Pelodiscus sinensis: one gene and its partners. The protein of the gene in region 3 purifies or fractionates together with the protein of the main gene of each other region. This does not show direct contact. Links are inferred from orthologs where the notes say so. Each region holds a gene or a part of one and is shown on either strand. Other genes may lie near its edges.

Region 1 (3,741 bases), on a different chromosome or scaffold from region 3:
ATTCCAGCAGCAACGGAGCCATTTCACCCGCATGTGCCCACCCCTGGTCCAGACTGACAGCGTCTGAATGTCCCATGGGAGGCCACAGGGCCTTAGTTTAACATTTGTTTGAAAATATTTCGTTACAGGTTGGACCTCCCCGGTCCAGCATCCTGGGGACCTGAGAGGTCCCAAACAAGGGGCTTGCCCGACCAGGGGAGGTCAGGCCTCTGGGCTCTCCTGGGGCTCTCCTCCAACACACTGCTCCCGGCCCACCTGCTCTGGGGCTCCACTGTCCCCAGCCACCAGCTCCACTGGCCACCAGGGCTCCACTCCGGCTGCTGGTATGGCTCCCCATCCCCCGGACACTGGTCCCGCAGGCTGCCAGCCTGGCACCACTCCCAGCTGCTGGCAAGACGGACCCCAGAGTCCCGGACCAGAGGGGGCCAGCCTGCAGTGTGTTGCAGAAGTGGCTGAAAACGGCAGTGAGGGGACTCCTCCTTCCTCCCCGCACCCTCGGCTTTGCTCCCTGCCATTGTGATGGCGATTGCTGGGCTGGGAGATGTTTTGCCGAGCTCTCGTTTGGGATCTGAGCCAGGGAGGGAGAGAAAAAGCTGGAAGGGTCACGATTCAAATCCAGCAGCGAGGCCCACACGATTCCCCCGAGAGTGAAGCCACCATCTTTAATGATGCTCTAGAGGAGATTCGCCAGGCTGCCGGAGCACTCACTGCTAAGGGCGTGTGTGAACTTGGAAAGCCCTCGGGCCCAGACCCCCCAAGGGTACAAGGCTCCTCGCTTTCGAGAGAGGGCCCTAGGGGGTAGTGAGGGCTGGGGGCTAGGCTGTGAGCCGGGGACTCATTGAAGCTTGGGGTCTGTCCCCAGCTCTGTCACAGACCTGCTGGGTGATAAGTTATATTACAGCCCCCTGCCTCAGTTTCCCTCCTCCCCTTTTGTCTATTTAGACCAACTGCTTGTTGGGGCAGGGTCTATTTCTTACTATGTTTGTAGAGAACCCAGCCCAAGGGGGCCCTGCTCTAGGCTGAGGTCTCTAGAGGGGTCTGGAATACAAATATTCAGCCGGAATGGAATAACAAGCGTAGTCTTCCCCCATCCCATGGCTTGCATGGATTTAGGTGGCTGAGCAAGCCCTTTCCCTCTTCGACCTGCTGGAGCAAGCGGCTCCCTAGCGTGCGGTGGGGTGGAACATGGCCCCTCACAGGAAACAGAGGGGGCCGGCTGGCTGCATCCACTCCTCAAGGCTGTGGGGATGGGGGAATAAGGGGGGGCAGGCAACGGCCCGCTTGGAGGCATGAGCGATATAGTGAGAGGCGCCGAGTCGAGGGCTGGAGGTTCGAGAGAGTGAAGGGTGCACCAGTGCCCCACCATCTCGGCAGGAGGAATCCTCCAGCCTGAATGGAGCCTTTGAATCCTGGCCGTCCGGGGCCACAGGCGGCAGCCAGGCCGGCCTGAGGGGGGCTGCAGCCACCTCTCACAGACCAGGCCCAGTGGGGCCTGTGTCACTCACCTTGCTCTAGGGGGGCAGAGCCGGATTAAGACCTTTAGAGGCCCTAAGCACTGAAAAGATGATGGTGCCCCCCCCATGTAATTCAAAATAAAAACAATACTATACCGTAAAATCTCTTTTTTTTGGTGGCCCGGCTTTGCGGGTGCCCTAAGCACATGCTTAGTCTGCCTATTGGGTAATCCAGCCCTGTGGGGGGGCATGTGCAGCAGGCCTAGGGCTCAGCACAGGGAGAACAGCTCAGGCTCACAGGAGACGGCTGCCCCTCTCCAGAGCCAGGAGGAGCGGAAGGAAGCACTCACCGGTTATCTCCACCACACCCTCCTTGGTCTTCACCACCAGCTCCTCCGGGGCAAAGTGGTTGACGTCGAGGGCAACCTTCCAGCTGTCCGCTGTCTGCCGGATCTCCGAGATACCGCTGCTGAGCTGGCGACTCAGGGCCCGGCTGTAGGCAGGGTTAGGGGAGGTGGGGGAGGTGACGATGGGGCTGGGGACGGCCAGCGGCTCGGCGGCCTGGCTGGGCAGCAGGCGGAGGTAGCCCGGCCAGTTGGTGCTGCTCGGCCACTTGTACCAGTCCTCCAGCATTTGGGGCATCCCGAAAGACTGATCGAAGAGCCGGCTGCCCAGGTACCAGTCCCGCCAGGGGTCCCAGCTGGGGCTGCGCAGGAAAGTGAAGGGCACCCGGCGCTCTGACATGGTGCACTCCTGCTCTGGCCTGGCTGCTCTGGCTGTGGCGGGAGGGGAACGAGCGGGCGTCTCTCGAGCAGCCCCGCGGGCTGGCCCCTTATGAAAAGGCAGCTGGTTATTTTTAGCCAGGCAGTTCAGCTGGCTATTCATGGAGATTACATGCGGGCCAGTCACTGCTGATGAGCAGCAGGTCAGCTGTCAGGCTCTGCCCGCGTCCTCCCAGGCCCTTCGTCATCCCACGGCTACGCTGGGCCTGCAAAGAAGCGGGGAAGGGTGCTGGCTCCCCAGTATCTGGCTGCAGTGGGTTGGCTGGGTAGTGAAGACACGACTGGGGTTCAGGAGAGCTGAGTTTAGGGCTTGGGCCCTGCCACAGCCTGCTTGTGTGGCCTTGAGCAAGTCACTTAATCTCTCTGGGCCTCAGTTCCCCAGCTGTACAATGGGGCTGGGTGCAGGTGGGGAAAGAGGAGGGGGCTGCGAGGTGTGGGAGGGTGGATGGTGCAGTGACTGAGAAGCGCATGGCTGCGTGGATGGGCAGGGGCAGCACATGGGAGGCAATGGAAAGAGGAGGGAGGGGCGGGGGTGAGCTGGGGAATGAGGAGGAGGAGAGCCGTGAGATACAGTCCGTGGGTGGCTGAGGAGCAGTGAGAGAACAAGCTGGGCTCAGCCTGCCTCCAGCTCAGCTGCCAAAGGAGGGCCAGCGTCCCCCTGCACCCCTGCCCCACCCTGTGCCCTGTCCGGCTGCAAGGGGCCGGTACACAAGGAGCCCTCTCACACTGCCTGCGCGGGGCAGGGCAGGATCCGGTATCAAACCTGCCACGTCCTTACTGGGACCAGCTGCAGAGGATCCGGTGCCCACCCACCATGCCCATGACAAGGCGATTGATTGCCAGCTCCCAAGTCTCATCACTCTCAGCCTGGAGCTAGGCTGCCCCCCAGCCAGTGTTCCCTGGAAGCTGAGCGCTTGGGCGGCCATGCAGGAGAGGTTCAGATACTTCCCAGCTGATTAGCAGAGCCCCCGTAGTCGGTCGGCAGCGGGTGTTCCTACTGGTGGTGCACATGCCTTGGCGCGCATAGCAAAATTTATTCTGCACCTGGAAGAAATTGGGGGGGAACATTGTCCCCAACCTCATTACCAGTGCAGCAGCTCCTTCCACTGACTTCGCACAGTTCTGCTGAAGCTGGGGATTAGCTCTCCACTCGGGGAGGAGGGGGCGCACCCACTCGCGTGCTGGCTGAGTGCACTGCACAGAGCAGGATGGCAGCTGCCCACCCAGTGCTTTTTTTGTGATGGTACTGTCCTGTACGCAGTACCGGCAGCTCCAGACACAGTACTGGCACCTCCAGTCGTGGTACCAGCACCTCCAGTCATGGTACCAGCACCTCCAGACACAGTACCGGCACCTCCAGTCGTGGTACCAGAACCTCCAGTCGTGGTACCAGCACCTCCAGACACAGTACTGGCACCTCCAGTCGTAGTACCAGCACCTCCAGTCGTAGTACCAGCACCTCCAGACACAGTACTGGCACCTCCAGTCGTAGTACCAGCACCTCC
Region 2 (3,741 bases), on a different chromosome or scaffold from region 3:
ACAGCCTGATGTGTGGCACAGCCCAGCGCGTGGCACAGCCCGATGTGTGGCACAGCCCAGCGCGTGGCACAGCCCGATGTGTGGCACAGCCTGATGTGTGGCACAGTCCAGCGCGTGGCACAGCCCGATGTGTGGCACAGCCCAGCGCGTGGCACAGCCTGATGTGTGGCACAGCCCAGCGCGTGGCACAGCCTGATGTGTGGCACAGCCTGATGTGTGGCACAGCCCAGCGCGTGGCACAGCCCGATGTGTGACACAGCCCAGCGCGTGGCACAGCCTGATGTGTGGCACAGCCCAGCGCATGGCACAGCCTGATGTGTGGCACAGCCCAGCGTGTGGCACAGCCCAGCGCGTGGCACAGCCTGATGTGTGGCACAGCCCAGCACGTGGCACAGCCCGATGTGTGGCACAGCCTGATGTGTGGCACAGCCCAGCGCGTGGCACAGCCCGATGTGTGGCACAGCCCAGCGCGTGGCACAGCCCGATGTGTGGCACAGCCTGATGTGTGGCACAGTCCAGCGCGTGGCACAGCCCGATGTGTGGCACAGCCCAGCGCGTGGCACAGCCTGATGTGTGGCACAGCCCAGCGCGTGGCACAGCCCGATGTGTGGCACAGCCCAGCGCGTGGCACAGCCCGATGTGTGGCACAGCCTGATGTGTGGCACAGCCCGATGTGTGGCACAGCCCAGCGCATGGCACAGCCCGATGTGTGGCACAGCCCAGCGCGTGGCACAGCCCGATGTGTGGCACAGCCTGATGTGTGGCACAGCCCAGCGCGTGGCACAGCCCGATGTGTGGCACAGCCTGATGTGTGGCACAGCCCAGCGCGTGGCACAGCCTGATGTGTGGCACAGCCTGATGTGCGGAACAGCCCAGTGCCTGGCACAGACCGGTGTGTGGGAACCCTGGAAGAGCAGTACCACCCTCCCACCTTCATGGTACATCCCAAAGGTCCTGCTCACTTGGTACATCCCAACCCAACCTCCCTGAGGTTGGTACATCCAGCTCCCCCTGTACTACCTTTCCCGTGGTGCATTCCAACCCTCCCTATAAAAATGGTACATGCCAACTGTCACACCTCTGCCCTAACTGCACTTGGTACCTCCCACTATGATGCATCCCAACGGTCTCTGCTCTGGTATAGGGCCATGTGGTACGTTCCATGCTCCCCCAAGATGGTATCTCCCGTTTTACACACTTCCCATCCCCCTGCCCAATTAGGATTTCCTATCCCCCCCCCCCCCCCGTCCCTGGGTGCACGTGTGACATTCCATCTCCCCTGTTCCGTGGAGATGGTTCGGCTCGTCCGTCACTCGCCGCATTCATGTTGATTCCCCGTCGAGGATGGTACATCCCACCCCTCTGCCCTGGGTGAGCATGGTACATCCCATCCGCCCCGCTCTCTTTGGTACCCGCCTTGCAAGGCCCGGCTCCCCTCCCGCATGGTTTGTCCCACGTCCCCCCCGCCGATGGAATCTCCCAGCCCGCAGAATGGTACAACCCTCCCCCCGCGAATGGTATCGCCCGCCCTCCCCCCGCGCCTGGTTTCCGCGCGAAACAGTCTCCGGCCCCGGCTCCCGCCCGCGCCCCCGATGCCGGCCCGGGCCGCCCCCCCCCCCGCGCCGCTGCCGCCCGAGCTGCGCCGGCGGTGAGTGACCCCCCCGCGAGCCCCCCCCGGGCCAACCCCCCCCCCGCCAACCGCCCCCCCGCGAGCCCCCCCGCCACCCCGGGCCAACCCCCCCCCCGCTAACCGCCCCCCCGCGAGCCCCCCCCGCGAACCCCCCCCGCCACCCCGGGCCAACCCCCCCCGGGCCCCAACCGCCCCCCCCGGGCCCCAACCCCCCCCGCCCCGCCAACCGCCCCCCCCGGGCCCCAACCGCCCCCCCCCGCCAACCGCCCCCCCGGGCCAACCCCCCCCGCGAGCCCCCCCCCGCCAACCCGGGCCAAACCCCCCCCCGCCAACCGCCCCCCCGGGCCAACCCCCCCCGCGAGCCCCCCCCGCCAACCCGGGCCAACCCCCCCCCCCGCCAACCGCCCCCCCGGGCCAACCCCCCCGCGAGCCCCCCCCGCCACCCGGGCCAACCCCCCCCCGCCAACCGCCCCCCCGCGAGCCCCCCCCGCCACCCCGGGCCAACCCCCCCCGGGCCCCAACCGCCCCCCCCCCGGGCCCCAACCGCCCCCCCGGGCCAACCCCCCCCGCCCCGCCAACCGCCCCCCCGGGCCAACCCCCCCCGCGTGCCCGCCCCGCCAACCGCCCCCCCCGGGCCCCAACCGCCCCCCCGGGCCAACCGCCCCCCCGCGAGCCCCCCCCGCCACCCCGGGCCAACCCCCCCCCCGCCAACCGCCCCCCCGGGCCAACCCCCCCCCGCGAGCCCCCCCCGCCCCGCCAACCGCCCCCCCCCGGGCCCCAACCGCCCCCCCGGGCCAACCCCCCCCCCGCCAACCGCCCCCCCGCGAGCCTCCCCCGCCCCCCCGGGCCAACCGCCCCCCCCCGCCAACCGCCCCCCCGGGCCAACCCCCCCCCGCGAGCTCCCCCCGTGAGCCCCCCCCGCCAACCGCCCCCCCTTGAGCCCCCCCCGCCAACCTCCCCCCCGCCAACCTCCCCCCGCGAGCCGCCCCCCGCCAACCGCCCCCCCCGCCAACCACCCCCCCCCCCGCGCTGCTGTCGCCCGAGCTGCGCTGGCGGTGAGTGACCCCCCCTCCAACCGCCCCCCCGGGCCAACCTCCCCACCCGAGTGTCCGCCCCCCGCCAACCGCCCCCCCCTCGCGAGCCCCCCCGCCAACCGCCCCCCCGTGAGTCCCCCCCGCAAGCCGCGACCCCCCCCACCAGTTTCCCCCCCGCCAACCACGACCCCTCCTGTCCCCCTCCGCGACCCCTTCCGCCCCCCTCCACGAGCCTGACAGTCCCCCCAAGAACCCCTCCCCCGTCCCTCGCCCTACCCCTGAGTTTTGGTCCTCCCAAGTCTGCAGCCTCCCCCACTTACCCCCGTGTGACCCTCGCACTTGCCCCCCCAGGCTCCCCGCTGCCAGCCCGTGAGGGTGACCCCGTCTGAGCCCCCGGCCCGCTGCTGCCCCCCTCATGGAGACCCCCGTCTGAGCTCCCTGTTGGGGTCCAGCCCCCCAGGCCGTGGGGCTCTGCTCTGTTGTAGATGGGCCGGGGGTTCACCCTGCTGGGGGCTGGTGCTCCCACGTCAGCCTCCTTCGGGGTGCGCCCTGCGGCCCCAGGGGTGAGCGTGGGGGGGATCCTTGGGAGTTATCGGACCCTGACCCCCCCCTTGTCCTGCCGCAAGCCCCAGAGCCAGTACGGGTGGGTCCAGGCAGGGGCTGCACCCCACCCCTGCGTGGCACGGGCTGCTTTGTCTTCCTCCCGCCTCGCTCGCAGCCGTTTAGGACAGGACGTGGAGGAGAGCCCCAGACCCGCTCAGAACACGGGTGCGAGGCTTGGGGGCAGCAGTGGTTTGCTGTTTAGGACAGGACGTGGAGGAGAGCCCCAGACCCGCTCAGAACACGGGCACGAGGCTTGGGGGCAGCAGTGGTTTGCTGTTTAGGACAGGACGTGGAGGAGAGCCCCAGACCCGCTCAGAACACGGGCACGAGGCTTGGGGGCAGCAGTGGTTTGCTGTTTAGGACAGGACGTGGAGGAGAGCCCCAGAGCCGCTCAGAACACAGGGGCACGAGGCTTGGGGGCAGCAGTGGTTTGCCGTTTAGGACAGGACGTGGAGGAGAGCCCCAGACCCGCTC
Region 3 (3,741 bases):
CGGGGCAAGGAGGGGAATCAGGGCTGGGGGCTTGGCGTGGGGCGGGGCGGGGCAAGGAGTGGGGGAGGGGAATCAGGGCTGGGGGGCTTGGCGTGGGGCGGGGCGGGGCAAGGAGTGGGGGAGGGGAATCAGGGCTGGGGGGCTTGGCGTGGGGCGGGGCGGGGCAAGGAGTGGGGGAGGGGAATCAGGGCTGGGGGGCTTGGCGTGGGGCGGGGCAAGGAGTGGGGGAGGGGAATCAGGGCTGGGGGGCTTGGCGTGAGGCGGGGCAAGGAGGGGAATCAGGGCTGGGGGCTTGGCGTGGGGGAGGGGCGGGGCAAGGAGGGGAATCAGGGCTGGGGGCTTGGCGTGGGGGTGGGGCTGAGGGAGGGGCGGGGCAAGGAGGGGAATCAGGGCTGGGGGCTTGGCGTGGGGGTGGGGCTGAGGGAGGGGCGGGGCAAGGAGGGGAATCAGGGCTGGGGGGGTGGGGCTGAGGGGGGCAGAGCAAGGAGAGGGGGGAGGGGAAGCATGGTGGTGGGACTGAGGGAGGGTCAGGGCAAATGGGGGTGGGGGCCTGGCAGGAGTGGGGGGCAGCCCATCAATCTGGGATGGGGGGGTGTATAATCAGTGGCCTGGAGCTCCTAGCCTGACACTTGCTCTTAGGGTGGCTGCCCCCTGGGATGTGGAAACCTGGGAGTGTGGTAGGAGCACAGGGGATACTTTCCTTCTGCACCAGCCCTGGTGCCACTGCTGCTAGCATCGTGGGCCCAGCTCTGCAGCCCACAGTTCAGGATGGATGTGGCAAAACTGGAGCCACAGGAAGGGCTGGAAAACCAGGGTCCAGGAGTTCCAGCTGTTTAGCTTTGGGAGGAGACCATGAATGGAGTGTCTTGGTAACAGGCTCTGGGTGCCTCCATACAAGCCAATAGAGTCTTCAGTGTAGTGGAGGAAGATCTGCCAGGACCAAAGGGCTGGGACTTGAAGGGAGATCCATTCAGTTGGCAGTAACGGACACGTTTGTACCTTGAGGGCCAGACCCAGGGGAGTAGTCTCCCTGGGCGTGGGCCAGTGTTTGATCGGAATTGGATGTTGGCTGACAACTCTGCCCCAGGAGCCGTGTGGGGGAAGTTGTGTTCTGAGGATCACAGCTGTCCCTCTTGGCAGTGTGTGAGTGCCAAGACTGGGGGCAGTGCTGGGCAGGGCTGGGGGGAGCTGAGCAGACACTTCCTTGGTACTCGGGTGGGGAGAGACTGTATCCAGTCTGTCTTGCTGTTCTTGACCTGGGCAGATGGTTTGTCCATGCTCAGTTCTGAGGTGTGTCCCCCACCTTGCAGCTGTCAAAATAATACATCATGTGGGAGATATTGTGTATGTCCTTATTCTTCCACCCCTGTTTTCCTTTGGTTTGGAGGCCCAAGGCAGGAGATTGCTGGGGGGGGGGAGGGGCACCCTTTGGTGTCGTCAGAGAGATCCCAGGAGCAGTGCTTGGAAGATAGAGCCTCCATAAGCCAGGTATCTTGGACCCTTGTCTGCATGCTGGGACTCTGTACGGGGTGGGTACGATGCCTGTGCCTCTGGGGGGTGTAAAGTCTGCCGATGGTGATTTAGGAAGAGTACTCGGCAGGCAGGGGGAGGTTGGGATCTGGGATGGCACAGGATAGAGGCTGTGTATGAGGCTGCAGGGAGAGGCAGGCGCTGGATTCCAGGATGGTGGCTCTAGGACAAACTCTGGTTCCTGGCTGGGACACGGGAGTAGAATTGGCATTGGGGGTGGGTGCTGCGCATGGGGTGAAGAAGAGATGTAGGGACCAGCACTCACCAATTCATCTCCCCACATAGGCACTGCGGCGTGTGACTCAGACCACCTGCACCGGGGGTTACTCCCCATACCTGCCCCCAGGATGCGCCCAGCCCTCAGGCCTGCCCCGCAGCTCTGAGCCCCAACTTGGCCAGGTACCTGCGCCCATGGCCACTGCAGTGGCAAGCAACATCATTGTCCTGGATGATGAGGAGGAGGGGCTGCCCCCAGCTACGTCTCCAGAGCCCACCCCTGCCTCCCCCCAGCCCAGCGGGGCCTCAGACAAGAGACCAGAGCCTGTGACGCAGGATGGTGGCAGCTTCAAGGCTGAGAACGAGCGGCTCTTTGAGGAGGTGAGAGCCCTTGGCAGGGCCCCACCCTCCATGTATCGCCTAACTCCTCAGCCATGTCCTCGTGTATCCCTTCTCCATATTCTCTGCCCAGCTCAGCCAGCCAGGCCCCGCCTCTGGGGCTGTATGGGAACTGATGCCCCTAGAGTGCCCCATTTTCCTCGCCAGCCAGCCTGGGGGGCTTGGGGTGTATGGTCTGTCGGGCCTAAGTCTGCTGGACTGACCCTGCCTGGTCGGTGAGTCTGAGCCCGGCCCACTCCTCACTCTTGAGAAAAGGGCTTGGCAGGGAGGCGCATGGGGCCCACGACGCAGGCAGTCCATCGCTTGTGGCCTCTGTGAGGACTGAGAGCAGCTCTTCAGGGCTGACGCAGCTGTGGGGAGGGGGCTCTTCTCCAGTGCCTGGAGCTGGGCCTGTGAAGCAAGGTCCTGTCCCTCCAGCCACTCATGGGATGGGGCCAAGCCCTCTCTCCGGAGCTGGGTCTGCTCCCCAAAGAGCCCTGAGACATGGCCTTGCTGCCCTGGGCTATGACACTGCCTCCCCGACCATGTCTGTGTCCTGCGGGACCCCCACTGTCCATGTGACCGTGTCTGTGCCCTTTGGGGCCCACCCCTGCCGTCTGTGCGGAACCCCCCCCGCCATCTCTGTGACCGTGTTTGTCCTGTGAGCCCCCCCTTGTTGTCTGTGTGACGTGTCTGTGTCCTTTGGGCCCCCCCCCGCCATCTCTGTGACCGTGTTTGTCCTGTGAGCCCCCCTTGTTGTGTGTGTGACCGTGTCTGTGTCCTTTGGCCCCCCCCGCCATCTCTGTGACCGTGTTTGTCCTGTGAGCCCCCCTTGTTGTCTGTGTGACCGTGTCTGTGTCCTTTGGGGCCCCCCGCCATCTCTGTGACCGTGTTTGTCCTGTGAGCCCCCCCTTGTTGTCTGTGTGACGTGTCTGTGTCCTTTGGGCCCCCCCCGCCATCTCTGTGACCGTGTTTGTCCTGTGAGCCCCCCTTGTTGTGTGTGTGACCGTGTCTGTGTCCTTTGGCCCCCCCCGCCATCTCTGTGACAGTGTTTGTCCTGTGAGCCCCCCCTTGTTGTCTGTGTGACCGTGTCTGTGTCCTTTGGCCCCCCCCGCCATCTCTGTGACCGTGTTTGTCCTGTGAGCCCCCCTTGTTGTCTGTGTGACGTGTCTGTGTCCTTTGGGCCCCCCCCCGCCATCTCTGTGACCGTGTTTGTCCTGTGAGCCCCCCTTGTTGTGTGTGTGACGTGTCTGTGTCCTTTGGGCCCCCCCCCGCCATCTCTGTGACCGTGTTTGTCCTGTGAGCCCCCCTTGTTGTCTGTGTGACCGTGTCTGTGTCCTTTGGGGCCCCCCCGCCATCTCTGTGACAGTGTTTGTCCTGTGAGCCCCCCCTTGTTGTGTGTGTGACCGTGTCTGTGTCCTTTGGGGCCCCCCCGCCATCTCTGTGACAGTGTTTGTCCTGTGAGCCCCCCCTTGTTGTGTGTGTGACGTGTCTGTGTCCTTTGGGGCCCCCCCGCCATCTCTGTGACCGTGTTTGTCCTGTGAGCCCCCCCTTGTTGTCTGTGTGACGTGTCTGTGTCCTTTGGGGCCCCCCCGCCATCTCTGTGACAGTGTTTGT

Evidence for each region.
Region 1: the proteins of DAXX (region 3) and HSPB1 purify together in Homo sapiens (affinity purification with western blotting; 3 studies listed by BioGRID and IntAct, with this or other methods). This does not show direct contact. The link is inferred for Pelodiscus sinensis from reciprocal best matches to the Homo sapiens genes DAXX and HSPB1.
Region 2: the proteins of DAXX (region 3) and DNMT1 purify together in Homo sapiens (affinity purification with western blotting; 4 studies listed by BioGRID, with this or other methods). This does not show direct contact. The link is inferred for Pelodiscus sinensis from reciprocal best matches to the Homo sapiens genes DAXX and DNMT1.

The regions. Positions count from the first base shown.
Region 1 is NC_134731.1:15,444,068-15,447,808, reverse strand, and holds the start of HSPB1 (heat shock protein beta-1), read right to left. Parts: upstream 2,270-3,741; 5' UTR 2,199-2,269; coding exon 1,805-2,198; intron 1-1,804. UniProt on the Homo sapiens protein: Small heat shock protein which functions as a molecular chaperone probably maintaining denatured proteins in a folding-competent state. Plays a role in stress resistance and actin organization.
Region 2 is NC_134729.1:15,028,487-15,032,227, reverse strand, and holds the start of DNMT1 (DNA (cytosine-5)-methyltransferase 1), read left to right. Parts: upstream 1-1,547; 5' UTR 1,548-1,592; coding exon 1,593-1,648; intron 1,649-3,741. UniProt on the Homo sapiens protein: Methylates CpG residues. Preferentially methylates hemimethylated DNA. Associates with DNA replication sites in S phase maintaining the methylation pattern in the newly synthesized strand, that is essential for epigenetic inheritance.
Region 3 is NW_027465970.1:8,342-12,082, forward strand, and holds the start of DAXX (death domain-associated protein 6), read left to right. Parts: upstream 1-1,171; 5' UTR 1,172-1,275; coding exon 1,276-1,488; intron 1,489-1,815; coding exon 1,816-2,127; intron 2,128-3,741. UniProt on the Homo sapiens protein: Transcription corepressor known to repress transcriptional potential of several sumoylated transcription factors. Down-regulates basal and activated transcription.